Ovis aries: one gene and its partners. The main gene of each other region encodes a partner of the protein of the gene in region 3 in a complex. Links are inferred from orthologs where the notes say so. Each region holds a gene or a part of one and is shown on either strand. Other genes may lie near its edges. The genes, in order: OSGEP, GON7, LAGE3 and TPRKB.

What was found.
Region 1: the proteins of LAGE3 (region 3) and OSGEP are in contact, whole or in part, in a crystal structure (PDB 6GWJ), measured with the Homo sapiens proteins. The link is inferred for Ovis aries from reciprocal best matches to the Homo sapiens genes LAGE3 and OSGEP. Residues at the interface, in NP_006005.2 of Homo sapiens: Glu76, Ile77, Gly80, Ser81, Leu82, Pro84, Asp85, Asp125, Gln126, Leu129, Val130, Arg132, Thr133, Met134, Arg136, Phe137, Gly138, Pro139, Pro140, Val141, Arg143; in NP_060277.1 of Homo sapiens: Arg50, Ile53, Leu54, Asp55, Leu57, Gln58, Leu61, Gln69, Ala84, Val87, Ser88, Val91, Val92, Arg94, Thr95, Val96, Gln98, Leu99, Trp100, Asn101, Leu315, Ser318, Gly319, Val320.
Region 2: the proteins of LAGE3 (region 3) and GON7 are in contact, whole or in part, in a crystal structure (PDB 6GWJ), measured with the Homo sapiens proteins. The link is inferred for Ovis aries from reciprocal best matches to the Homo sapiens genes LAGE3 and GON7. Residues at the interface, in NP_006005.2 of Homo sapiens: Pro60, His61, Ile62, Phe63, Thr64, Leu65, Ser66, Val67, Pro68, Phe69, Pro70, Glu74, Arg102, Ile103, Glu111, Cys113, Leu116, Arg117, Val120, Ile121, Leu124, Asp125, Leu127, Ser128, Val131, Arg132, Met134, Gln135; in NP_115879.2 of Homo sapiens: Met1, Glu2, Leu3, Leu4, Gly5, Glu6, Tyr7, Val8, Gly9, Gln10, Leu17, Asp28, Pro29, Phe30, Gln31, Leu33, Leu34, Val37, Met40, Lys41, Val44, Thr45, Leu47, Phe48, Asp49.
Region 4: LAGE3 (region 3) and TPRKB share a complex: the UniProt entries of both Homo sapiens proteins name them as parts of the EKC/KEOPS complex. The link is inferred for Ovis aries from reciprocal best matches to the Homo sapiens genes LAGE3 and TPRKB.

What each region holds. Positions count from the first base shown.
Region 1 is NC_056060.1:24,952,408-24,959,505, reverse strand, and holds the end of OSGEP (tRNA N6-adenosine threonylcarbamoyltransferase), read right to left. Parts: intron 6,812-7,098; coding exon 6,692-6,811; intron 6,512-6,691; coding exon 6,336-6,511; intron 4,124-6,335; coding exon 4,028-4,123; intron 3,898-4,027; coding exon 3,848-3,897; intron 3,703-3,847; coding exon 3,624-3,702; intron 3,056-3,623; coding exon 2,990-3,055; intron 2,898-2,989; coding exon 2,807-2,897; intron 2,583-2,806; coding exon 2,507-2,582; intron 2,411-2,506; coding exon 2,312-2,410; intron 2,161-2,311; coding exon 2,121-2,160; 3' UTR 1,972-2,120; downstream 1-1,971. UniProt on the Homo sapiens protein: Component of the EKC/KEOPS complex that is required for the formation of a threonylcarbamoyl group on adenosine at position 37 (t(6)A37) in tRNAs that read codons beginning with adenine.
Region 2 is NC_056071.1:55,647,850-55,655,053, forward strand, and holds the start of GON7 (EKC/KEOPS complex subunit GON7), read right to left. Parts: upstream 3,893-7,204; 5' UTR 3,836-3,892; coding exon 3,628-3,835; intron 1-3,627. Other genes in the region: putative E3 ubiquitin-protein ligase UBR7, read left to right, coding at 4,090-4,239, 6,126-6,259, 6,853-6,913. UniProt on the Homo sapiens protein: Component of the EKC/KEOPS complex that is required for the formation of a threonylcarbamoyl group on adenosine at position 37 (t(6)A37) in tRNAs that read codons beginning with adenine.
Region 3 is NC_056080.1:79,962,482-79,968,635, forward strand, and holds LAGE3 (EKC/KEOPS complex subunit LAGE3), read left to right. Parts: upstream 1-2,500; 5' UTR 2,501-2,547; coding exon 2,548-2,741; intron 2,742-3,065; coding exon 3,066-3,194; intron 3,195-3,359; coding exon 3,360-3,474; 3' UTR 3,475-3,694; downstream 3,695-6,154. Other genes in the region: PLXNA3 (plexin-A3), read right to left, coding at 5,777-5,872. UniProt on the Homo sapiens protein: Component of the EKC/KEOPS complex that is required for the formation of a threonylcarbamoyl group on adenosine at position 37 (t(6)A37) in tRNAs that read codons beginning with adenine.
Region 4 is NC_056056.1:95,598,162-95,605,532, forward strand, and holds the start of TPRKB (EKC/KEOPS complex subunit TPRKB), read right to left. Parts: upstream 4,295-7,371; 5' UTR 4,157-4,294; exon of another isoform or gene 3,562-4,156; intron 2,057-3,561; exon of another isoform or gene 2,054-2,056; 5' UTR 2,035-2,053; coding exon 1,894-2,034; exon of another isoform or gene 812-1,893; coding exon 689-811; exon of another isoform or gene 1-688. UniProt on the Homo sapiens protein: Component of the EKC/KEOPS complex that is required for the formation of a threonylcarbamoyl group on adenosine at position 37 (t(6)A37) in tRNAs that read codons beginning with adenine.

The DNA of each region.
Region 1 (7,098 bases), on a different chromosome or scaffold from region 3:
TCAAGAGAGATTTGGGTCTTTGTTAAGATGAGAAAAATGACAGCGTGATTTGCATGCTCCAGCATATAGGATGCTCCAAGAAAGGAAAATACTGACCCTACAGGAAAGATGGGAGATGTCCTTGAAAGAGCTTGGGACAAGCTATCCAAGGATTTGGAAGGGAGCCTAGGCAGTTTGTTTAGAGCAACGCTTCTCAACCTTGACACAAATGACACTTCACCCCAGATAATTCTGTTGGGGGAAGCTGTTCTGTGTACTGTAAACTACACTGCAGCAGCCTTGGCCTCCACCCAGAGCACCACCTCTCGGTTACAACCCAATGCCCTCTGGGAGCAAACTCAGCCCCAGATGAGAACCACTGGTATGTAGCAACAGTAGAGAAAAATATAAACAACAGCAAAAATAATGAGGAAAAAAAAAAGATACAGTAACAGGAGAGAAAGCAGAGCATATGGGTATAAATGCTGGAAGTTATGGTAAGTGTAGTGGTAGAAGCTTGTGAACCTATTCACTGTCTCTATTTTCTACCAAAAACAATGAAGGGGATGTTGGAGATGTGAGGGATCAGAAGGAATAAAACAGGATCAGAAAAGTGGTAAGTAGAGAATTCCCAACTTTGATGCTGCAAGCAACACAGAGTTCCACCCCACCCCCCCAAAAAGGAGGGCAAGTGAAAAGACTAGCAAATACTACTTTTAGCATAACGGACCCACTGAAGTTTCTTGGTAATGAATTTAAAGTCAACGTGGCTGTTTTTCCCTAGCCCTTTCAGCTGAATGGGTGTAGGCATAAAGTCAGTCAAGAGTTGAGTGTGACAAAAGCAAGAGAAGCAAAAGAGATTAGTTGTTTGCAATGAGGTGCTCATGACTGGCACTTAGTTGCAGGACAGAAGTGAAGACACGTGGAGTCAATTGGAAAAATAGGAAGTAACGGTGGGAGAGTGGGATGTTTGAGACTGAGATATGGATTAGCAGTAGGGCTGGAATACGACCAGAGGAAGGAGTAGCTGAAGTGGGACTATAGGAAAAGATCAGTGGAGGTGCAAAGAACTGAGACCAGTTCAGTGTTAGCAAGATAATCTATATGGGTATTTAAAGCACCAAGATTTATGACAGATATTGTTTTAAAGCTGAGGCATGTTAGAGATGAGAGTAGTCTAATAGCAGCATGAGGAAAAATGCGGCCTCCCACACTGCCTCCAGGCCGGCCTAGAGCTACAGTGGGTGTGAGAGAACCCACCGCCACTACAGGAGGCAGGAGCAGCAGAATCCTTAGGAGAAACCAGGGCTCAGAGCACAACCATGTACAGGGAACATTCAGAGATGATGCTGAGGATACATGGGATTTCTGCTAATGACTGGCTGCTAACTTCAGAGATTACAAAAAGAATTGCAAGAGTTAAAGAAGCGGGTGGACAGGGACAAAAAAGGGAATGGAGAGTAATGGTTATTAGAGTTTAAAAGAGAGGTGACTTGATAGTCACACTTCTTATGGTGACTGGTATAAATAAAAGTGCATGATGAGGTTAATTCTGGTGGTTGTGGCAGGACACGTACCCAGGGCCTCCCTCTGGTCTGCCAATGGAAATGTCTGTAGGCTTAAGTGTATGCAGGAGGGACAGTTTTACTTTTGAGTTATCAATTAGTATGAAATTATATCTGGCTTCAGGCTGTTTTCAGGGAAATCCTGAGTACCTACACTTCAAAGAATTTAAACACGGTGATGAATGTAAAGCAATTAACACAAGACCTGATGCTAAAATAGTACCAATGATAATGCATTCCTAAGGGAAGGTTAGAATATCTCAGAGATTCTCCTCAACTTTAGCTCCAGAGCAGCAGCTCCCAAGGCTACCTGCAGTCCGCCAGGGTGCTGCTCCGACCCCTGCCCTCCTTATCCATCGACCCATCAAAAGGATTTGACCACTGCCAAATGTATATTCTTCCAGAACACAAGTCAATTGCCAACATATAAAACCAAAAATATTTTAATACTGAGTCAATTCTTGAGGTTCAAATGATGAGACAAGGGAGTCCAAAGCCTTGTCAGGACAGAGATTAAGGCCTAGGGTCCCTTGGGCTCCACTCAGGGCACCAAATACTCCAATCCTGTTAACTTTGTTAGTCCCTCCAGGTCACTTCTACTTCATCTGTCCGATACCTGTTTAAAAGAGAAAAAAAAAGGAAAAACTTGGTGGACAGTTAACCCTTATTCCATTCTTCTTTGCCCTCATGATTCTGGGTCCTCTTCCTATTGGATTTTTGCCTACCTCCCATATAATGCTGTCTACCTCCTCCCAGGGGCCACTTACCTCTGTGTGATCCCAGATTCACTGAGAGGGGTCCTGTGTCCAGCCTGAAACATCTCCCACCCAGCCTGGGCTATCATGGCTCCATTGTCAATGCAGAATCTGGGAAGGAAAAGACATATGCAATTCATGATCTAAGGGTAGAAAATCACAGCAACTGGAGGGACAAAAAGTATGTGTGGGTGGGAGGGCCTTTACCTTTCATCTGTGGCATAAAGCCGAGCTCCACGTTCCTGGCACATGGTCTCCATCATTTCCTGTAACCTCACATTACCTACAGAGGCAGGGGTACGATTAGCTTATTTTTAGCCATTTCTCCAGTCTAGCTATACACCTCATGTGCACTGACTTAGGAAAATGAAGTAGGGGCAAGGACTGGGAAGCATAGGACAGAAACAAAATAAGTAATTTCCCCAAACCCTTAGAGATTAAGAGTATCAGGAGCAAGATGCACATGCCCCAAAATACAAAAGAGAAGGTCAGTTCAATGATACATACATCCTACACCTCCCACAATGAGGGCCTCCTGGGAGCCACAGTGCGCCATGGCCCGCTCTGTGATCTCGACCAGCATTGCAAACACAGTTTCCTGTGGGGGACAGACAAGTTGAAAACATCAGAGGCGATCCCAGTTTAGTTCTGTCAGCTCCACCTTTCTATCCCAGCTCTTCACTTCATTACCTGCAGGGAGAAGCACAGATCCTCGGGAGTACACTCTCCAGTGGCCAGCATGCGCTGAGCTATGTCCTGTAGTTACAGGGGCAAACAGATAAAACAGTGAACTGGGGGTGACATGTGAGCAAAAAACTAGCACACTTGGAGGATTGCTATATTTTACCACAATTCACCCATACCAGTATATCGTATATCTTGCTCTTCACTGGCACTGAGCTATATCTATATATATAAAACCAGCAGCCTTCTTTCAAGATTCAATAATCATGAATGCCTGGCCTCTCACCTTCTGTCTCACCCTGGTAAATTTTTCTCCAGACTTATCCCCGTCTGACCCTTTTTATTTTTTTCCCATTTCTTTGTCTGTTTCTTTTTCTGTCTCCCTCCCTCCTTCCATGCCCCATGAAATGCATGCTCCAAGTAGGCAGATTTTTGTTTTGCTCCATCTAGTATCACTATTACCTCGAACAGCACTTGGTACACAAAAGATGTTCAATAGGTATTTGCTAGATGAATTTATTCAGCATCTAACATAGGCCAGTACTATGCTATATACTACAGAAAATACTACACTGAGCAAAACTCGCACACTTCACTAAAAAGCATGAAAGTGCCCATCTCCTCACCTCCCCACACTCACCTCAATAAAAGACAAGATCCCAGAGAATGAGACGTCCATCCCCTTTACAGTGTATGGCAGCTCAACTAGCTTCTTGCCTCTATGTGGGAGTGAGTATATGAGGCACTAAGCCTGTAGTCAGCTGGCTGCTCACCCTCCAAAGCCCTCCCAAAGCTCATTAATACATACACAGGGAAATCCTTGGCACCCCACCAGTCAGCCTCCTTCTGCCTTATTCCCCTTACCGCTTTGCCATTTGCTCAATGTTGTAGCCTGGACTTGGGTCATTGGAAATCTAGAAGGAAAAACAGGATGAAGGCAGGTATCTATGAAGCAAAAGAAGCTAATTTATCTTCCCTTTCCTTTTCCATAGCTCTCCCAAAATTCATTCACAACTTATATTCTCTGTAGCCTCAATGACTCACCTTCAGCACTCGAGCAAAACGATCCAGACAATTACCCACAGCAATATCGATGGTTTCCCCAAAGATGCGGTAACGATGTTCTGAATACGCAATCACCTAAGGGTGATGAGGATGTCCATGAAACCTCAAGTCTGTAAAGAGGAGCATTTGGCTTGGGGAAGAACATAGCAGAGGATCAATGTGGCCACTAGAACTTCAATAACCAATGGAAATAAAGTACTTTCCCAGTCCCTCAACAGGTACTTTTGAATAGCACTTCTGAGAAGTCTATATACACCCTAAAGATTCCTAGAATAGACTTCTAGTCTAAAGACGGTAACCTAGGAGGGGAGAGAAGTAAATTACCATTTTGGATACATTTTTCTAGCTTGGAGGTTGCTGATATTCCTTTAAAAGCAGTCAAGACAGTGTGGACTAGGGAAAGCTTTCCTTCTTGGAGGCAGGGAACCAGAGTTCTTCAACATTATCCTATGAGGGTGGTAATATTTGGAAACCACTAAGGTAGAGTTAAAAAAAAAAAAAAAAATCAAAAATCCCAGGGAATTCCCTGAACCTGGTTGCAAATGCATTCAGTCCCTGGCAGGAGAACTAAGATCCCACAAGCCACTTGGTGCAGCAATAACAACGAAAACAAAACCCCAAAATTCCATACTGGGTCAGACTAATTGCTCATCCAGCTCAGCACTGGCAACCGACTTCTGTCCACTCTTCATATGGGACCAACTTCTAGCACAGAGAGTATTCATCACCCACTGACACTTAAGCTCCAGACTTCTGACAGTACTTCCAAAGGATCGTTAAGTCCCTTTCCCTTTCTGGTGCTGCTAGGGATTTTCTTCCATTCTGATGTAGCCCTTACTCTACTGATAAAAGGTTGGAAACAAAAGCATAAAGAAAAATTCTGTAGTCAATCATCTTGTTTTTCACACCTAAGCAGGCTTTAAAGGGAAAGAGGAAAAGAGAAAATTCCATCACTGCTCATCTCAAGTAAATCTTGTAAGCTTCCACTGTTACTTTCCACACCCTAAGTTTCTAACCTTGTACAATAAATATCCTTCAGGCCTCAACCAATTACTTGTTCTCTACCCATTAAAGTTCTCACGTCATTTTCATAGAAATGCATGCTTCATCTTTAATAACTATTTCACAAAATGAACTTTTGGAATATAATCCTTTCAGGAGAGAGGAATCAGTCTGGACAATAATCCCATCAGGTGTTAGGTGGAAAAGGAAGGCTAGAGTTCTCCCATCTCAACTTAAAAAGATCTTGTAAGGTATCCCAAACAACTCTGGCTTCATCTATAAATTTAAAACATCTTCCACCATTCATAAAATGTTATTTAAATTACTTACATTTTCACTCTTAAAAAAAAAACAAACCTATATATTTACCATCAGTAACTAAAACAAAACAAATGTTGTAAAGAAACAAATGAGATAGTACCCTTTAGTTTCTTTTTTTTAAAAAAAATTTTTCTGGCTGCACCTTGAGGCATGTAGGATCTCAGTCCCCTGACAAGGGATAGAACCCGTGCCCCTGGCACTGAAAGCAGAGTCTTAACCACTGGACTGCCAAGTGCCCCTTAATTTTAATTGCTAACATTCATAGGAAAAATAAGCTTCAAAATAATGAAAATAAAAATCCTTAAACACTTCAATCCTTACTATTTTTTCCTTCTCTAAGCTGGAAATTCCTCATCTCGATAGCCACGTATAAAGGTCATCCAATGTTCCAGTGTATCACTTTTTAGCTTCAGATGAGCCCAGTTTTCCTACCACTCAGGCAGAAAGTGAAAGTTGCTAGCACAGTGCCTCAGAAATTAAGAAGGACTGGTGGAACTCTTCTGCTGTAGTCCTGAATGGCTTCTGTCAAAATGGCCAAGTTCATGAAACCTGGGAGGTGGTGATGCCCCTGGCCAGTCATCATGAACACCTATGATCTTGCTACCTTGCTAGCAAGGTACAAAGTGAAAGCTACCATGGGCAAGAAGAAAACTGCCAGGAGGTCAGAGAGCAAGTCTTTTGTGAAAGTTTGTAACTTGAAGTATACCACTTCAAGCCCACAAGGTACTCTGTAGGTATCCCCTTGGAAAAAACTGTGGCCAAGGAGAATGTCTTCAGATACCCTGCTCTTAAATGTGCATCCCAACAAGAGGTCAAGGTCAAGTTTGAGGAAAGATACAAAACCAGCAAGAACAGATGGTTCTTCTAGAAGCTGTGGTTTTAGATCTGTTTTGTTTCAGTTATTAAAAATACCCAAAAATCTGAGGGGAAAAAAAAAAAAAGAACCGTGAAGAATTCTAAATACCTGTGTATTTCCTCCACTGACATACAGCACAGTTGGGTTGGTGGCTCCAGTGATGAGGCGGCCCATCTCAATGTGACCTATACAGTGGTTAACACCCAGCAATGGCTTATTCCATAACTGGGCCACAGTACGGGCCACAACAGCCACAGAAACCAGTGGGGCACCCATGCCAGGACCTATGGGGACAGAATAGGGCTTAGAATCCTATAGAGATTGGGAAAAACAGAGTTGAGGGAAGCGGGGGATGTGAAGGTACAGCGGATGTAGTGGTGGTTTCAAAGGTGAGGTGCAGACTATTTTGACCTAGCTGGGTTCCAGGTATATTCTTCCACTGCTGTGCACACTTCTAGCTATACCTTTGGTGTATGCGATGCAATCAATATCCTCAGAGGTTAATCCAGCCTCTGTTAGTGCCTCCTGCAGCAGGTCCAGGATAACAGCTCGGTGGTGCCTAGCAGTATCACCTGGAAGGAATCCTAGGAGACGGACACAAGTCAGAGATCCTAAGAATTTTCCTACAGAAAGGCACCTAGAAGTCAAAACAGACATTTCAGTAGGGTAGGAAGAGTCCCCTCCCTTTTCCTCAAACATCCTGTCTTCAGATATAGTCTTTTCAGCCTGTTCAGCTAAGCTAAACAGCTCTGAGCAATGCCCTTCTTCATAACTAACTCCTATTCAGGACTCAATGATACCTATCTCATACTTTTTGGTGATGCCCTGTGACTCTACAAACACTGTGCATGGTAACATCATTTATATTAAC
Region 2 (7,204 bases), on a different chromosome or scaffold from region 3:
ATTCCAATGATAGTATTTTCAACGGTTTAGAGAGGATCTTTTGGAGCCAAGAACCAGGACTTCATGCTGATGGAAACAATCTACTGTCTGAAATTCACATAATATTCTGAGTTGGTTCTATCATATTATCTGGCACTATCAAGATGTAAACAAGATGGAAAGAAAAGGAAAGTACAGTACAGTTTAAGCTCCTCTACAGAGGAGTTACACCTTCATGATCACAGCCTTGTCATGGTGAAGGGGCTTGTGTTATTCAATGAAGCTGCAAGCCATGCTGCGCAGTGCCACCCAAGATGGATGCGTCATAGTGAAGAATTCTGATAAAACATGGTCCACTGGAGAAGGAAATGCCAATCCACTCCAGTATTCTTGCCTAGAGAACCCCATGGACAACATGAAAAGGCAAAAAGATGACGCTAGAAGATGAGCCCCCAGGTTGGAAGGTGTCCAATATGCTACTGGGGAAGAGCAGAGGGCAATTACTAATAACCCCAGAAAAATGAAGCAGCTGGGGTAAAGCAGGAATGATGCTCAGTCATGGATGTGTCTGGTGGTGAAAGTAAAGTCTGATGTTGTAAAGAACAATATTGCATAGAAACCAAGAATGTTTGGAAGGTAAACTGGACACAGTCAAGAAGGAAATGATAGGAGTGAACATCAACATCTTAGGAATCAGTGAACTAAGATGGACAGGAATGGGCGAATTTAATTCAGATAACCATTGTATCTACTACAGTGGTCAAGAATCCTTTGGAAAGAAATGAAGTAGCCCTCATGGTCAACAAAAGAGTCTGAAATACAGTACTTGGGTGCAATCTCAAAAACGAAAGAATGATCTCGGTTCGTTTCCAAGGCAAACCAGTCAACATCACGGTAATCCAAGTCGATGTCTCAACCACTGATGCTGAAGAAACTAAAGTTAACTGGTTGTATGAAGACCTACAACTTCTAGAACTAATACCAAAAATGATGTCCTTTTCATCATAGGGGACTGGAATGCAAAAGCAGGAAGTCAAGAGATACCTGGAGAAACAGGTAAGTTTGGCCTTGGAGTACAAAAATGAAGCAGGGCAAAGGTTAAGAGTATTGTCAAGAGAACACGCTGGTCGTAGCAAACGCCTTTTTCCAATGACCCAAGAGACGCCTCTACACATGGACATCACTATCTGGTCAATACTGAAATCAGACTGATTATGTTCTTTGCAACTTAAGATGGAGAAGTTCCACATAGTCATGATCTGGAGCTGACTGTGGCTCATATCATGAACTCCTTATTATAAAATTCATGTTTAAATGGAAGAAAGTAGGGGAAAATCACTAGGCCATTCAAGTATGACCTAAATAAAATCCCTTATGATTATACAGTGGAGGTGACAAATAGATTCAGGGAATTAGATTTGCAGACAGAGTGCCTGAAGAACTATGGATGGAGGTTTGTAACACTGTGCAGTAGGCAGTGACCAAAACCAATCCAAAGTAAAAGAAATGCAAGAAGGTAAATTGGTTGTCCAAGGAGGCTTTACAAAGAGCTGAGGAAAGAAGAGAGGTGAAAAGCAAGGGAGAAAGAGAAAGATATACCCTTCTGAATGCAGAGTTCCAAAGAATATTAAGGAGAGATAAGAAGGCCTTCTTAATGAACAATGCAAAGAAACAGAAAATAATAGAATGGGAAAGACAGATCTCTTCAAGAAAATTGGAGACACCAAGGGAACATTTCATGCAAAGACAGGCATGATAAAAGGACAGAAATGGTAAGGACCTAACAGAAGCAGAAGAAATTAAGAGGTGGCAAGACTACACAGAAGAACTATACAAGAAGTCTTAATGACACGGATAACCACAATGGTGTGGTCACTCACCTAGAGCTGGATATCCTGGAGTCTGAAGTCAAGTGGACCTTAGGACTATGAACAAACCTAATGGAGGTGATAGAACTCCAGCTGAGCTATTTAGAATCTTAAAAGATGATGCTGTTTGATATGTCAGCAAATTTGGAAAACTCAGCAGCGGCCAGAGGACTGGAAAAGGTCAGTTTTTATTCCAATCCCCAAACCGTATGCAGGTCAAGAAACAACAGTTAGAACCAGGCAGGAAACAACAAACTTGTTCAAAATTGGGAAAGGAGTACATCAAAGCTGTATATTGTCACTCTGCTTATTCCAAGCTGGATGAAGCACAAGCTGGAATCAAGAGTGCCAGGAGAAGTATCAAAAACATCAGATACACAGATAATACCACCTTAATGGCAGAAAGTGAAGAGCAACTAAAGAACCTCTTGATGAAGCTGAAAGAGGAGAGTGAAGAAGCTGGCTTAAAACTCAACATTCAAAGACAAAGAAGATGGCACCCGGTCCCATCACTTCATGACAAATAGAAGGGGAAAAAGTGGAAGCAGTGACAGATTTTATTTTCTTGGGCTCCAAAATCACTGCAGACAGTGACTGTAGCCACGAAATTAAAAGACACTTGATCCTTGGAAGGAAAGCTATGACAAACCTAGACAGTGTATTAAAAGCAGAGACATCACTCTGACGACAAAGGTCTGTATAGTCAAAGCTATGGTTTTTTCAGTAGTCATGTACAGATGTGAGAGTTGGTCCATAAAGAAGGCTGAGTGCTGAAGAATTGATGCTTTTGAACTGTGGTACTGGAGAAGACTCTTGAGGGTCCCTTGGAAGGCAAGGAGATGAAATGTTAATCCTAAAGGAAATCAACCCTGAATATTCATTGGGTGGACTGATGCTGAAGCTGAAGCTCCAATAATTTGGCCATCTGAGGCAAAGAGCTGACTCACTGGAAAAGACTGATGCTAGGAAAGATTGAGGGCAGATGGAGAAGGGGGAGACAAAGGATGAGATGGCTGGATGGCACTGCAGTTTAAATGTACCTGAATTTGAGCAAGCTCTGGGAGACAGAGAAGGACAGAGGAGCCTGGTGTGCTACAGTCCATGGAGTTGCAGAGTTGGACACAACTGAGCGACTGAACCTCAACAACAACAATAGGGGAAGTAAGCCCTGATTCCAATATTTAGTTCTTAGGTTCTTCAGCTCAGGGTATTCAAGACAAGACTTAAGAATACAGTTAAAATTTCCATTTCTGCTTTCAAACTGCACCTACCACACTGGGAAATGAAAGGAGTCCCTGACAGTGAAGCCTTGTTCATCTGAAATCTATTCCAATCTTCAGAACCTGTTTCTATTCTGTAATAGATGGCGGTCTTCCAAACATATTTGTAAGTTCACGCCTGGGAAAATTCCTTTCCATCCTTCTAAGCCCAGCTTAGAAGTCATGCTCTTTCTGAAGCCTTCTTGGGTTCTCTAGGTTTGCAATAGTTACAAAGAAGCCTAGGGTCATTCCTTCTACTCTTTAATAAGAATGTTTGTCTGTCTAACCTCCCACAGAGTTCCACAAGAACAGGAACTGAGTCGCATTCACGTCATTCTTTCTCCAGAGTTCAGCCCAGTGACTGGCACAGGGCCGTAGGCGTTCAGTACGTTTTTTGTGTGACATAAATGAAAAGAGAATCGTCAAAAGCAGTCCTGCTAAACGAGTCCAGGTACAGCCCAAATTTCTCCGGGCGCCCCTGCCCGCCCTCCTGTCACTCGCTGAACCGTCTCAAAGCTCACCGTCCAAGGCCTCGTCGGGAGCCGCCGTCCCCCGGTCCTGTGCTTCCGGCTGTACCTGAGAGCCGAAGAGCTCAGTCACCAGCTCCCTCATCTGAGCCACACCGGACAACAAGCTCTGGAAAGGGTCGGTGACGCCCGGCGCCTCACAAGGCACCCGCAGCTGCTGTCGCTGCCCTTCCAGTCCGACGTACTCGCCCAACAGCTCCATAGCGACCGCTACGCTTCAGGAGCGCGCCACAGTGAGTCGCCACCGGAAACGGAAACCAGCCCGCCGCGGGCGCAGGCGCGGAGAAGGGAGAGGCCTGACTTCCGTTTGTCGGAAGTCGCTCCTCCCCCTTCCTTCGCTCCCTGTCTTTGGGATTGGTGTCTGGCACCGAGGCCCCGCCTCCTCCGGCCCCGCCCCTCGCGGACGCTTTTCCCGCCTCCGCCGGGGCCGGTCGGCGGTCCTGGTGACAGTTGAGGATGGCTGGAGCTGAGGAGCCAGCTGGGCGACAGTCGGAGTTGGAGCCCGTGGTATCGTTGGTCGATGTACTGGAGGAGGACGAGGAGCTGGAGAATGAGGCTTGCGCCGTCCTGGGCGGCAGTGACTCGGAGAAGTGCTCCTACTCGCAGGTGGGCGCGCGGCTCGGCCCTCGCCTCCGCTGAACCTCCCTTTCCCCACCGCCTTACCCTCTCTCTTCCCGCCGGCCGCGGCCGGCCCCCTGTGGTGGTCCAGCGCAGCTGTTGGTCGTAGGCTTCCCCATCCCAGGCCCAGGTGCCCTTTTACACTTAGTCTTCTGAGCCCCTTCTAACCTGTGGCCAGCAGGACGCCCCTCCTTTCTCGATTTTCCTCTGTCAGGCCCCCGACGTTTCTACGGTTTTGGCCCCAGAGCAGCTGCTCTTTCCTTCCTTCCTCGTCTCTTCTCTGTGCCCCGGCCGCTTTTCACCAAACCAACCCCGTGACCTTTCACATCCTGAGTATCTTTGTCCATACTTTTCCCATCCTCAGAGTATTTGCTGGGTACTAAACGGAAGAGTCAAATAATTAAAGGAGAGAGCTCTGGGTTTGAAAATCTCTCCGCGTAGGCTGGACTCCTGGACAGCTGGTTCCTCTGCAGTTTAGTTTGACAGGTGCTAGCTGGTTTTTTTTTTTGGCGAGAGGAAGCAAGTACCACGTCTCTCTGCAGTCGGCCCTCCAGGGGCATAGACCGGAACCCGAACAGCTGGTGGCACTGGCAAAGGAAAGGAGGGGAGGAGAGATGGCATTCGGAAGATGGTGGGAACAAGGACTGGAGGGGGTGTGACGTAGTGTTTGGTGACTCATTCTATGTTTCTAGGTTCAAAAATGGAGAAAGGTGGTAGAAGAAAACTAATGAGAGATGGTACTTGATAGGAAGAAGGTTATCTTCCAGGCAGGTGGAGTGGAACATTGCAGGATGGGGAGAGAGACATGGGGTCTTTACGTGGTGTTGCTTGAGATCACAATACCAGTTGTTATCAATGACCAGTTGAGTTTACACTGCAAAGTGGTTAGATTTTTTTTTTTTTAATACACCTGGCTTCAGAGGTATTTAATGTTGGCTGATATTTTAAAACCTTTGGTCGCCACTGGAACAACTTTTTCTCTGTTTGCCTTTTTTAAAAAAGCCTGTAAGTTATTTTTGAAACGTAGTTAGATTTTTAAAACAGACTTCCTTAAAAAATTTTTTTGTATTGTTGTAAAATATGTGGAAAAGTGCAGAAACCATGTATAAGTCTTGGGAAAGCAAAACTGAAAACACCTGCAGGTACATACCACACAGATCAAGAAATAGAACATTACCAGCATCACAGAAGCTTTCCTGGGACTCCCTTCTTCTCAGAAGATGGCAGCCATTATCAGGATTTGCTTTTCTCTCGACTTTTTATTTTGAAATGTTTAAAGTCTACAGTTAAAATGAAAAAATAATATTATGAACACCTGTGTACCTTCACATATATTCACTTTTTAATATTTTACCACATTTGTTTTATCTTTTACTTCTTCACTGTAATATACTTTGTTTTTGTTTCCTGAACCAGTTGAAAATAAATTTCAGACCATGACACTTCAACTCTAAATATGTCAGCATACATCTTAAAATCAAAGGGATTCATTTAATGCACTGGTTTTCTCTTTGGTGGAATCACAAGCATTTTCCAAAATTAAAGTATGATTATTCCTTACATAAGCTTACACACATTCTCCTGTATTTTCATGTGTTAAAATAGTTAAGCAGACCGGTTTATTCACAGCTGACTAAAAATGTTAACTTCTATCACTTTGAGAAAAAGTTATATGAAACGTGTATGAAACCTGCAACAGTGTTTTGGTATTCTATTGTATATGCTTTTTTATTAGTCTCAGTGGCTTTTACAGGAAGATCTTGACCCCAGATCATCTGATTTCAGTTATTTCTCAGATCATAGTGTGGGCATTAGGTTGCTCTGCCAGTGTTTCATCAGTTTCCGGTCTTTTTCCATTTTGGGGCTGTCTTTAGGGTTCAGTAAAGAGACAAGCACTGTATGCCTGCAGTACCTGCACTCCAGAGGGAGAAGAACCGGCAGGAATTTGCCTGGCTTGCAGTTACGAATGTCATGGAAGTCATAAACTATTTGAGCTGTACACGAAAAGGTAAACTGGTCAGAGATTGATGCTGGATGCTTTTCAAATGTTTAGATTCTTTTCCAGTTGCACTTTTTTTCTTAATCATGTTTTTGCATTCAAAGTAGTTGTGCCCTGGTAAAATTTAATGCAACTGTTTTATATAATGTAATCGGAAAGAACAGTTTTTCCAGGGGACCTTTTAAAATATAATTATGAGGCAAACTCAGACTACTCCTGCTATCCTTCCACTGTTTTATGTGTGTGTGTGAGATACAGATATTTGTCTTTATGCATGTTAATTTCTTGGAGAAGGAAATGGCAATCCACTCCAGTATTCTTATCTGGAGAATTCCATGGACAGGGGAGCCTGGTGGGCTACGGTCCGTGGGATCACAAAGAGTCAGACATGACTGGGCACACAGCACACACATGTTAATTTATAGAATTATTAAATCTTTTATTGTAATATGCTTGGGAAAATTGCGGATTGGATACATGAACAACAACCAAGTCCAATTTTTAGATCCTAGAAGCTAATTGAAAGGGAAGAGGCTATGATATGAATGTAGTCTTTAGACTTAGAAGAAAAATTAAAATTGGCTCTTCCTCCTTTCTTTCAGAAATTTTCGTTGTGATTGTGGAAACAGCAAGTTTAAAAATTTGGAATGCAAATTGTTTCCTGTAAGTAACCACAGTAAACGATAAATGCATAGAAAGTAGCTAAGATTTGTATTTGTCCTAGGGGATAAAACCAAGAATTTTCAAAAAGGAAGTTCTATGCTTCTTTGCCAATGGGCAAATCAATGTTAGACTGTACCCCAGTTTTTTATTTGTTGGAAAGCTAAGTAACCTGTTCAGAGCCTACCTATAGATTGTAATTAATATGAAAGGTTTTGGGGGTAGTGTTCTAAAGTGATTCAGGTTCAGTTGTGTTGATTGTGCTCATGCTCTAAGGCTTTTTAAAGAAAAGGG
Region 3 (6,154 bases):
ATCCTGATGCTGGGAGGGATTGGGGGCAGGAGGAGAAGGGGATGACCGAGGATGAGATGGCTGGATGGCATCACCGACTCGATGGACATGAGTTTGGGTGAACTCCAGGAGTTGGTGATGGACAGGGAAGCCTAGCGTGCTGCAATTGATGGGGTCGCAAAGAGTCCAACATGACTGAGCGACTGAACTGAACTGAAGTAATTTTGTGCATATGTTGTTTCATATTTGTGAAGTAACTGGTACATGTGGCATTCCTAGGCCCAAGACACTGTCTGAGTTTTTGAGGGGATGAGAAGGGGGCAACAGAGGATGAGATGGTTGGATGGCATCACCTACTCAATGGACATGAGTTTGAGCAAGCTCCGGGAGATGGTGAAGGACAGGGAAGCCTGGCGTGCTACAGTCCAGTCCATGGGGTCGCAGAGTCAGACACAACGGAGCACACAGAATGTTGTTTCATCCAACAAGAAACAAACCACCTAGTGCATGAACTACATAGAAAAGGTATCAGAGACAATACAATGACAGTATAGAAGTGAACAAACTTACAATTTCAGATTATTAGAAATGAGCAACCTGAAATGGGCAAATGTGATGCACGGTGCCTGGGGGTAGTATGTTAGATTGGTGATCCCAAAGGCCTCTCAGAATTGACACTGGAGACTAGATCTTAATGACAAGAAGGAGCCAGCAACGGGAAAGTCTGGAGACAGTCTTCCAAAAAGAAAAAGTAAGTGCTAAGGGATGCGGGCAGGCCACCCTTGGTCAGGAGCAGAGAGAAGTCCCTAGAGGTTGCACAGAGTAGGGAAGCAAGAAGGTGGAGGAACCCTGAGCCGGGTCACACAGGACTTTTATAAGCTACAGGAAGGAGTTTGTCTTTGGTTTCAAAGACAACAGGAAACTGTTTTAGTAACTTTAAGCAGGGACATGATATGATGTGATATATATTAAAAATTAAGAACTGATTCTACTGTGGAGAACAGAATGTAGAGGAGCAAGCATAGAAGAAAACTAGTCAGAAAGCTGTTCAAGGGGCTCCCCTGGTGAAGAAAAAAAAGTGAAAGTAGTAGTCACTCCATTGTGTCCCACACAAGGCTCCTCTGTCCATGGAATTCTCCAGGCAAGAATACTGAAGTGGGTAGACATTCCCTTCCCCAAGGGATCTTCCCCACCCAGGGATCAAACCCGGGTCTCCTGCACTGCAGGCAGATTCTTTACCATCTGATCCACCAGGGAAGCCCCAGTGGTAGAGAATCCACCTGCCAATGCAGGAGACTTGGAAGCTCTGATCCATGAAGATCCCCCATGCCTGGGAACCACTAAGCCAAGTACCACAACTACTGAGACTGTGCTCTAGAGCCCACGCGCCCTACAGCCTGAGCTCTGCCAACAAGAGAAGGCACTGCAATAAGCCCGCTTGCTGCAACTAGACAAAAACCCTCACAGGAAGGAAGACCCAGCACAGCCAAAAACAATTAAATTATATGTGAAATATATATATCAAGTTCAGGGAGATAGGGTGGCCACCGGTGGAGACTAGCAATGAAGGGGGAGAGGGTAGGCTGATTCAGGATGGATTTCGAGGGGTGATCCAACAGGCTTTGATAACCTACTTCACCTTTATGCCCTTCCTTCTGATTACAAAGGAGGAAAACAGAAAACTAACAGGGCTATCACCATCAGAAATTTCATGTCACTTTAAAAACTTATTTTTGATTAAAAATGCCGTATAAGGTTACTGTCAAAAACTTGCAGAACAGAAAAGGGAAGTTAAAATCGAGTCATACAGTTTGTGAAAGGCCCGAGCTGTGGGAAAGAAAGAGTTAGTCGCTCAGTCGTGGCCGACTCTGTGGTTTAGTCAGTAAGTCGTGTCCAACTCTTGCGACCTCACGGACTGTAGCCCCCAGGCTCCTCTGTCCATGGGGTTCTCCAGGCAGGAATACTGGAGTGTGTTGCTATTTCCTTCTCCAGGGGATCTTCCTGACCCAGGGATCAAACCCGGATCTCTTGCATGGCAGGTAGATTCTTTACCCACTGAGCTACAAGGGAAGCCCCGAACTGAGGAAGGGAGATTCATTTCTCTGCGGCCAACGGAGATTCCCCTCGGCCGGCCGGCTCCACCAGACCTGTTTGCGCAAGCGCGCGGGGCGGGGTCGGCGCGCGGGGCGGGGTCGGCGCGCGGGGCGGGGTCGGCGCGCGGGGCGGGGTCGGCGCGCGGGGCGGGGTCGGCGCGCGGGGCGGGGTCGGCGCGCGGGGCGGGGTCGGCGCGCGGGGCGGGGTCGGCGCGCGGGGCGGGGTCGGCGCGCGGGGCGGGGTCGGCGCGCGGGGCGGGGTCGGCGCGCGGGGCGGGGGCGGCGCGCGGGGCGGGGGCGGCGCGCGGGGCGGGGGCGGCGCGCGGGGCGGGGGCGGCGCGCGGGGCGGGGGCGGCGCGCGGGGCGGGGGCGGCGCTTCAGGAAGAAGCAGCAGTTTTTAAGCTGCTCGCGTAGCGGGTGGGCGACGGAGAGTCCTGGAGCCAGTGGGTGGGGTTGGAGGCGGAGCACGGCAGCCATGCAGGAGACAGGTGGGGACGTAGGCGCAGGCATCCTGGCGGGTGGCGCCGAAAGCCAGGGCCGGCGGGGGTTCGGGGGTGGCCGGGGCAGCCCCGGCAGCGCGGGTGCTGCTTCCGCTGCAGACCACGGAGCTCCGGGTGTCGCGCCGGCCCAGCACTCTTCCCAAAAGCCGGGAAGCCGACCATGCGTATTGTATCCTACTCGAGGGGCAGTGCGGATTGGGCTGGGGGATGCCTGCGGTGGGAGGTGGGACAAACGGACCGGCGGGTCAGGGGCTGCTGGGGGGTGGAATGGCCAGGGCGCCTGGGGCGGGTAGAGAATAGAGAGCTGAAGGGAGACTGGAAGCTGGGATGGGCCTGGGTGGCGTGGGTCGGGGGGAGAAATGGGATCTCGGGGCAGTGGGGTGGCTGGGCTGGATTAGGGCTACGAGCGGCCCGGAGGGGCTGGAAGCGGTCCTGAGACAGGACCCAGAGCTCCAAATCCTTGTGGGTGGTACCTTAACCGCATCTCCATCAGCACCCTAAGCGTGCCTTTCCCGTCCGCGTTGGAGGCAGAGATTGCCCATGGGTCACTGGCCCCAGATACCGAACCTCACCGTGGGGCGGTTGGGAAGGAGCTCACAGTGAGCGGCAATGTCCTGGCTGTGTAAGTTGGAAAAGGGGCTGGTTGGAAGTGGTAGCAGGTGACCAAGCTTGTCTCTCGCCGGGGGCGCTCTGTTTGGACATACTCAAGGGCTGTGTTTATGGAGGTGACGCAGTGCCCTTGATTCAACCCATCTCCACCTTGATTCTCTTTTTCTGTCATTTTCAGCTGCTGGAGAGCTGAAGATTGCCGCCTCCTTCGAATCTCCATTGTCAACTTTCTGGACCAGCTTTCTCTGGTGATGCGAACCATGCAGCGCTTTGGGCCCCCTGTTGCTCGCTAAGCCAGGGCTGGGGAAAGGGGGGTCTGATCTGGTGGCCCTTCCTAGACAGTGCATCCTTCCTAGGGCAGTGATTCCTGCACTAGTTGCCTATTATGGGGGCCTCATCTTTTGGCTATAATGGCCCTTGGGTGCTCAAGGTCCACTTGCATTGTTTGGTACTTAAATGTTTCTTAACTACTGAAAATAAAATTGACCTATGATGAGTTTATTTTCAACTGTAGCACCTTCAAAATTCTTGCATTTGTTCTTAGATGGGAGGGTTCTGATTCAGATAGTCAAGTAGTACAGTGTAAGTGAAGATAATCTAAGAAATGGAGGAGGATAGGTCCTGTCTCTCATTCAGTATTAGCTACTATCAATATTTTGGAGTATTTTTGAGTTTTATAGTTACATAGTAAATGTGTAATAATAATATTTGATATTTTGCAAGTTTAGCATTTTTCCTGGTATTTCTCATCTAACATGAACTTTTTTCTAAAAATTCTTCAAAATCATTATTGATTGTTTAAACTATTTTCAGTCTTTGCCATATTATAGGTAATGATTCCATGGAACACTTGTATATAGATCTTTGCATGAATGATTAAGATTACAAGAAGTAGAATTAATTAAATATTTAAAGCTCTCAATCTGAAGCATGTGAAATTACTGTCCATAAAATGCCCTCCCACCAGAATTCTGGTTTCCCCACATTAGTGTCACCATTGGGGGCTTCCCAGGTGGTGTAGCAGTAAAGAATCCACCTGCCAGTGTGGGAGGCACAAGAGATGAGGGTTTGATCCCTGTGTCCAGAAGATCCCCTGGAGGAGGAAATGGCAACCCACTCCATGATTCTTGCCTGGGGAATCCCATGGATAGAGGAGCCTGGTGGGAGTCCATGGAGTCGCAAAGAGTCAGACGCGATTGAGGGCCTCAGCACTGCACAGGGGCACAATTGACTGCAGTGCACTTGGGACAGTAAAGAGCTGGCAGACATGAAGGTGTTTGTTGGCCATGAAGCTCTGGACCATTTTGAACAGAGTGGGGACAGGGGCCACCATGTTTATTGACAGAGTCCTGGTGCCTCCCATGGTGAGAAGAGGCTGAGGGAAGCCAGGGCAGAAATGGGGTCCAGGCAAGAGACAGGGGCAGCTTGGACCAGTCAGGGGCAGTGGGGATGGGGAGAAGGGGGTGGCTTCTGAACATGTCTTGAAGGTGGAGCCACCCAGCCTCATTGATGGATTGGACATGGCTGCCCTGGACCACCTCAGATCCTCAGAAACCCCACAAGGAGTCACCCTTGCTCCCACAGATGGCCTCCAGCTCAGGCAGAATCCGACAGTCTCCCCACCTGCCCTGAGAACAAAGCCACATGCCAACTCTGTTTCCCAACATTTAATTAGGAAAAAAAAAAATGACAGGTCAAAGAAAACCTCATGCAGAAAAGAAAAAGAGGCCAAATCGGGTTTGTAGGAGCATGGACTGGGGCCAGGTTCCTCCAAGGAGGCAGAAGAACAAAGGAGTAAGGCACTGCCACCTCTGCCCCTCGAGGCGTGCGCAGGGCAGGGCAGCGGAGGGTGAGTGGTCTGGGGGCGTGCAGACCCCACAGATGGAGTTTGGCAGCAGGGCCTGGAGGAGGAGAGTCCGGTGCCCCCAGGCCCAGGTCTGGCCCTGGCAGGAGCCTGATTCAAGCCCTCCAGGCCTCAGAGAACACGGCCTGGGAGGAGGCCCAGGCCCAGCCCGAGAAGTCTGGACAGGCTTCTGTGTCAGCTGCTGGGGGACCCCCTCCGCAGAGCCATAGTCTGAGGGCACCTTTGGAGCCTTGCCCACCCCGAGTGCTGCTGGTGTCCAGGCCCTCTCCTGGAGATGGGCAGGGGCAGCCAGGGGAAGGGGTGGGGCCAGAGGTGAGGCCAAGGGGGGAGCCGGAGGACTCGAGGAGGTGAGTAAGGTTGGGACATCTGGGGCAGGGGTGGGTGGATGGGGGGGGGCGTATTTACAGATGGAAAGGGTGAGTGGAGATAAATTAAATAAATAGGTGGCTGAGGCATAAATAGCAAGGAGGTCAGGGGTGATCACCAGACCGGGCAAGAGGGCAGGGGGAGGGTGGGGGTATTGCTGCTGCTGTGGTGGGGGGCTTGGTCCAGTCGCCCCCTCCCCACGCAGGGCCCAAAGCAAGGCACTAATGAAGGGCCCCGGGCTATGCCAGGGGCGTCTCGGCCCGGTGCCACCTGATCCAGGGCTCAGCCCAGGACCCAGGCCCGAGACGCCCCCTGGACGGGAGACTGGCTCAGGTCTGAGGCCTTTCTCTCCAGGTCGGCTGCCCTTAGCTGTTGCTGGACACGAGGCCGATGATCTGCTCCAGTTTCTGGCGCAGCTTGTGTTTCCGACAAGAGGCATCTCGGTCCAGGGCACTAAGAACCTGGGAAGCAGGCCCCGAGCTGGGCTCTCAGGGGCAGCGGGCCGTTCCTCCCAGCCAAGCCCCCTGCTCCTTGGGGCAAGCTTGCCCCTCCCTCAGGCCTCAGGGTGTCCCTTCCTGCTGGCCGGGACCCTGGGCACATGGCCTCCAAACAGCCCCTCTTTGACCCCAAATCCTCCTCCAACCACACACTCTCATCCCTCCTCTCTAAGGCCAGCATGCAGCCCCATCCAAGGGTGATGTGGACTCAAGGCTCCCCTTTCCCATCCCCTGCAGACCCCCAAT
Region 4 (7,371 bases), on a different chromosome or scaffold from region 3:
TTTTATAAATTTTTCAAACATCTGCATTTTAAACCATGCCACACGTTTCCTAATCTTTCTCTCCATGTCAGTACTTGACTGTGTTTAGTAGTTAGTACTTAGTGAGTTCAATCGCTCAGTCGTGTCCAACTCTTTGTGACCCCATGAGTAATAATTAAACTTCGTCAGCAAAATTAGTTGGTTTTTTAAAAAATAAGCCCAGGTGGAATGTTTTTAACTCAAAAACTTTGATTACTATCAATCTCTCAAACACAAACTCTTCCTATGTACTGCATGTATGAGCATGTGTTAAGAGCTAGTCTAGGTATCCGGCAGATTTCTGGTCTATGGAAAAGGCATGGTTCTATCCTCAAAGAGTTTATAGGGAGAATAAAAGATGTGCATGGTAACACACAAATACCCATGCCTAATTTTTATCATGAGATTTAAATAGCATTTTCCTAACTCTGTATGTCAGGAAGGACAAATAAAACTATCCTCAATTACTTTAGCTAAATTTCATGAGTGACTCCAACGCTTACTTGTCTCGTAGGCGGCAATGCTAAACCTCAACTCTGTCCAGCACTCACTCTTCACTGTTATTTTGGTTTGTTACCAGCAACAGGCTCCAACCCAACACTGAGTCACACACAGGCTACCATGACAAGATCAAAAGATATAAATAAAGTATACATTCCATATTAATTACATTGTTATTTGGGGAAAGATTGAAAATAACTTCAGTAGATAGAGTTCTTGTCTTCATTTTCCCCAGTTTGTAGAGGTGAACTGCTTTGTTTGCGGCCACAATTATCTGAAATGGATCGACAATCTACCAAAGAGAACAGGAAGAATTACACACAAAGAATCTGGAGCACTCTGAAGAACAATGCCCTGTACCCTCGAGTATCAGGCTGTTTTACTTCATCACAATTTCTATATTTTCAAAATTGTCAAAATCTTAAGGGCCTAGGTGTTTAGAAAAATCACAGAATTCTACAGCTGCAGGCAATTAAGATACAAAGAGTTTTAAAACAACTTATTGAGGACTATTATTATGGGAAAGGCCATATTCTCAACATTTAAACTTTATTTTCTATTCTACTCAAACCTACCCTATTTGATATCTTTTATTATTTTTCATGTGCAATAAATGAGGAAACCAAGGCAAAGAATGGGTTGGAATTTCAGTTCTGCCACTTACCACCAAGGGAACCTGGGCAAATTCCTTAGCATTTTATCTTTTAGAAGCAGATAATCATCTCACTACTTCATAGAGTTGTTGTGAAGATTAAGTGAGTTAGCAGTAATATAAAGAACTTACCAAATAAGCACTGAATAAAGGCTACCACATGCTCAAAGTCATAATAAATGGCATAACTGGGACTTAAGTCCTGGTGATTCTACCACTGTGCAATGCCTCCTTTACAGAGGCTTTCTAGGTCACACAAGATGGGTATCTAGGCATCTGCCATCATATCAGAGGGAAACCACCTTTCACGTCAGGACGGGGCTCAGCACTTGGCTTCTGCTGCTGCTAAGTCATGTCCGACTCTGTGTGACCCCACAGATGGCAGCCCACCAGGCTCCCCCGTCCCTGGGATTCTCCAGGCAAGAACACTGGAGTGGGTTGCCATTTTTAAAGTGAAAGTGAAGTCGCTCATTCCTGTCTGACCCTCAGTGACCCCATGGACTGGAGCCTTCCAGACTCCTCCGTCCATGGGATTTTCCAGGCAAGAGTACTGGAGTGGGGTGCCATTGCCTTCTCCCACTTGGTTTCTATTCACTGTTAAACTGAAGGCTGGCCAAATCTGAATCCACTCTACAGGTTAGACAAGTCCTTTTACATGAAGATAACAATTTTGGGCTAACCCATAACATCATGAAAAATCACTCATTGCCATGAGTACTTACCACTGTAGGATTTATTAATGAGCCATCAATGGCACCTTCCATGGCCTTTTTTCTCAAGCCTGCAGCATTTTTTACATCTTTAAATAACAGAAGGGTCACCCTGTATTCAGGAAATAGGTCCAGCTGATGTGTTAACTGCATTTCATAGATAAGCAGGATGCTACTGCACAAGACCAAAAGACCAAAAGTTAACAACTGTAAGTCACTAACAAATATCCTTGCTCACAATTAAAGTATTACAACTTTAATAGTAAGATGTAGAACTGTTAAACTTGAAAAATCCACCCCAAAACATCTGGCAGCCTGATGACAGACTGTCTTCCTAACCCTGCTAAGCTGTTCTAGCTTCCTTCCTGGGAAACGATCAAGGGCAACACCAGGTCCCCTAGTTGTACAGAAAAGGCAGGCTCTGGATGAGGGGGAGATTCTCAACAACTAGGAGCAGGGCACCAAACACTTTTTAGACCACAGGGTACTTACAGCATTAAGGAAACCTCACTCCAACTTAGTCTTTTTAGCTTTCTAATCTCACCATTTTATTTATATTTTGACAGAATCTAGACATAAATATAAGGCAGAAAACAATCTTATAGAAGAAAGTATGACACAACTCAGATATTCATTACATACATGGGAATTTAAGCCTAGAGGGTACAATTCTTAAATAGTAACACCCTTTATAGACATAAATTTAACAAGAAAAGGACAGGGTATATACAAAAACATAAAAGCAGCATAAACAACAAATAACTGGAGAGACATAATCTATCTTTGAATGAAAATACTAAGCACTGCAAAAATATAATCTTTAAAACAATTTCAATTAAAGTCTCAGAGATATTTAGATGAAGCAATTTTATATAGGGTCACTTTATCCTTTTATCTAGGAGGTTTTATTTCCACCGTTTTTCTGAAGGAATAAATTGGCAATCTGAAGATTTATGTAATAAGATGTTTTTATCATCCTGAGTAAAAGGTTGAAAACCTACCTAACTAGTAACAGGCCCAACTACAGTGGCTTTACTGACCAACCACTAAAAACTGTAGTCTTGAAGAGTAGCTAAGGATGTGTAAATATAGTAATAAATAACATTAAGTACTTAACATCTGATTGGAAAATAAAACAAAATGTTCATAATATGTGGGTTTTTTAAAATGGACACAAAAAGAAAACTACTGGAAAAAACAACAAAATATTATCTTTGACTTGCTGGAATTACATCTGATTTTTTCTGTTACAATCTGGAAAAATAAAATTGTGAATAGTGTCTTGGCACAGCAGGGCCACACAATCTTTATTATCATGATAATATCCAATGGAAAAAATATATATACATAAAATGTATACCCAATTCTACCAAAAAAAAAAAAAAATTGATTCAGAAAACAAAAACAAAGGAAGCACACCAAAATACGGCCATCTTGGGTAGCAGAATTACAGACAATTTTGTTTTCTAGAAAAAATATTTTTGCATGTTCTGAATTTTCTACAGTGAGCACACAAAAGATAATGAGTACATACAACCAGGGAGGAAACAATTTTTTTGTGTTTTTTGTTTTTACAGTAGGGGGAAAAGGGGGCCTATCAAATGTCAAAAATGGTTTTGGTTTGTTTTATATAATTCACTCACTTAGGTCAGAAACTTCGAACCATCGCTGGATACTTACCTTCCACTCAAATCCCATATCTTATGCAAAACTCTTGTCAATTTTTAAGTATCATCTTGAAGGGTCCAATTCTCTCCCATACCTACTCTGCCACTGCCGTTGGCCACCTTCTCTCCTCAACAGCGGTGACCTCCTAGAAGTCGCCTCACAATTCCTTCCCTCCTATCATCCAACTTCCACCCGGGAGTCAAAGTGATCTTTTCAAAACGTACACCAAATCCTGCCCTGCTATCAAGTCCCTTTATGTCACGGAGTCCCAGACTATGATCTGAGACCTTCCTCCCTCTTCCGCTTCCTAGCGCAGCCCTGCAGACAGCGCTCATTTCCCCTCAGCCGCACTGGCCCTTCCAGCTTGTCACCACCCCCAGTCCCTACCCAGCACGCCCCCTCGGACAGGCGGTTACTCTGAATTAATCCTCCCTCCCTTCGACTGGCCAGTAAGAGCCCATTTGCCGGCGCCCCCAGGACTAGTCTCCTATTCTCCGAGCTCCTCTGTTACAACTTTGGTGAGTCTGAGGCTCATCAGAATGCTGTATCGTCCGCCCTCGAAGGGAGGCTGAGCCGATCACTGCCGGGCTGCATCCCAGGACCCGACCTTAGCAAACGCTCGATAAACGAGGGCGCCGAAAATCACAGGTATCATCTGGAAAATCACTGGTCTCCAGTCCCCGCCCGCCCCGGCCAGCGATGTGGCGCCAGGTACTCACCGTCGCGTCCCCGTCCGTCTCGTAAGATCTTCCCCACGGAAACAAAGCGCTCAACTTCCGGGAGATCTGCCGCAGCTGCGTTCCTTCCTCGCCCTACCCGACCCTGCAGTGTCATTTCAGGTCGGGGTCGGAGGGAGGTTCTCAGCTACCTCCTTACACAGAGTGTTTCGCCGGCGTGAGTCGCGTCCGCTGACCCGAAGGGGAGCAGGGGCTCGGTGCGCCACTTCCTATGAGAGTGGCGGCAAGGCTCCTCCGACCGGGCCGGAAGCTTGAGTGCGGGTCTTGGCCGCGTCCTTAAGCCGCTTGGCCTTGAACGAGACATCCTGTTTCATCCTATGCGAAGAAAATTAATGGTTCCGATGAGCTCTACATATGTCTCCGCTGCTCGAGATTCTACAGTTCTTTTTCGAGGCAAGCAGGACTCAGTTTTTTCTTGTTCTGGACGAGGTCCAGTTGGCCAGGATCTCCTGGAGCCGAAAGCGCTCGGCGATCTGCCTAGGGTATTTGAGAGAGGTGTCAGTACAACCTCTTCCCCCAGCAGGCTCCCGTTTGCCATCCCTGAGTGTATCAGCCTCCGAAAGAGGAGGTCATCCGCTAAATGGGTGTTTTTCTTCCATGTTATTCTAATATGTTATTCTTCCATGTTTTTTATGCTTGGGGGCTCATCTAGGTCAATACTTTTCTTTAAACAAAAAGGTAAATAATAAATAGGATAGATATGTGCTATGGAGAAAAAAAACTAGAGAATAGGGGGTAATGTCAGGCCGTGAGTATTACCGTTTAAAATAGGATGGTTAAGAAAGATCTCACCAAAAAGGGCCATTTGTGACTGGGGGAGGTTTGGAGGCAGGTTCTGTGTGTATCTGAAGAGCAGCAATTCCAGAGAGAACAGAGAGAGTTAAAAGACTCAGAACAGATATGGCCTCATTTAAGAAAGAGCAAAGAGAACCGTGTGGCTTGAGCCCAGTGGGAATATATATGAAATTATTCTGAGGAAAGACTGGTATCCAGATTATATAACCAACTCCAATTCGAAAATAGTAAGAGACACAACCTGATTAAGGATAGATGGCACAATTGAACACATTTTAGGAAAGATACATGAAAGGCCAATAAAAACATGAAAAGATGCTCATCATTAGTCATCAGGGAAATAGACACAAATTAAAAACATAATGAGTTATTACTACATACCCATAAGAATGCTAAAATTTGAAAGACCTTAAAATTTTTAAATATCAAGTGTTGTCAAACATCCAGAACTGGAACCTTCACATATTGCTAGTCGGAGTATAAAATAAAAATAGTGTAACCACTTTGGAAAAGAGTTTGGCAGTTTCTTAAAAAATTAAATGCATGGCCCCAGTGTTAAAGAATCCACCTGCCAGTGCAGGGATGCAAGACTGCTGGTCTGATCCCTGGGTCAGGAGAATCCCCTGGAGGAGGGCATGGCAACCCACTCCAGTGTTCTTGCCTAGAGAATCCCATGGACAGAGGAGCTGGGCAGGCTACAGTCTATGGGGTTAAAAAGAGTCAGACACGGTTGAAACAACTGAGCACACTCCCTTGCACGTGCGTACTTAACCATTCGCAGCAGTTCCACTCCTTGATATTTAACCAGGAGCAGTGACAACATGTCCACCCACAGGCTTGAACATAAATGTTCATAGCAACTCTACTCATGATGGCCCCAAACTGGGAACAACCCAGTGCCCAATAATACATGAATGGATAAACAAATCATGGTAAATTCATGTCATGAAATACTATTCAGTAATAAAAGGAATGAACATACTTGCAACATGAATCAATCAAAAACATGCTCAGCAAAAAAAGCAAAGTAAAATTGTTACTGTATGTTTCCATTTCTACAAAACTATAGGGATTGCAAATATAGCAAATTTATTCTAGAGTGAAAGCAAATTAGTGGTTGTTAGGGACGGGGAAGTGGGAGACACTGGGAAAAAAAAAAAAAACCAAGAGAACATTTGTGATGAAGCCAATGTTCTATGTCCTGATGTCATGTTAATTACAAGGGAACCTGCATTAAAATGCATCAAATTATGTCATTTTAGAAAGTACATTTTGTAAAATTTCTCAGTAAAGTTGATTTAAAAAGACAAAGTTGTCCAGTTCAAAGTGACTTGTCTGTGATCACCAAAAGCTAGAAACAACCCAAACCCTTGTTAAGTGAATAAACAAACTGTATATCCATACAATGGAACACAACTTGGCAGTTAAAAGGAAATCAACTATTGCTACATACAATAACATTGACAAATTTCAAAATTATGCTGAAAAAAAGTCAGACATAAAAATAGTGTATCCTGTGATTCCATCATTTACATAGAACAGATCCTACTGTATAGCACAAAAAACTGTATTCAATATTCTGTGATAAACCCATAATGGAAAAGAATATTAAAAGGAATAGAATATATATTCAGTATATATGTATAGCTGATTCACTTTGCTGTACAGCAGAAACTAACACAACATTGTAAGTCAACCATACTTTAATAAAAAAAAAAGTTTAAATAAAACGGAAAGTAAATTTGCTGAATTGCTTCATAAGGAAATAGAAAAATGCCTTGTGTCAGGCTGTTGAAAATGTTCTCTCTTGAACATAACCTCTAGCAGATGGAAAGAGGGCTCTTTAATGTTTCCATTTTCTTTGATGTTATTAATATTCCCTTATAATCTGTGTATGTGGTCACAGTTGGTCTCTTGAAGTAGTTCTACTTTACCCCCGATTTCTGAAGTCATTAATGTCAATATAGTAGCAACCACTACCACCTACCTGTGGAGAAGGAAATGGCAACCCACTTCAGTATTCTTGCCTGGGAAATCCCATGGACAGAGGCGCCTTTGGTAGGCTATGGTCCATGGGGTCGCAAAGAGTCAGACATGACTTAGTGACTAAATAACAATTCTACTGGGGGTATATAAGAATAGAGTGGTGAGGGTGAGGAACAGGCTTCACAGGGAGCCAAAAAGACAGGTTGTTTGGTGTATGTGTTCACTCAGCAGGTTGGTTCTTCTCTGGAAGGCTTGGTAGGAAAAGCCATTCCACAAGCATTCCACACAAGGGAGAATGGAGGGG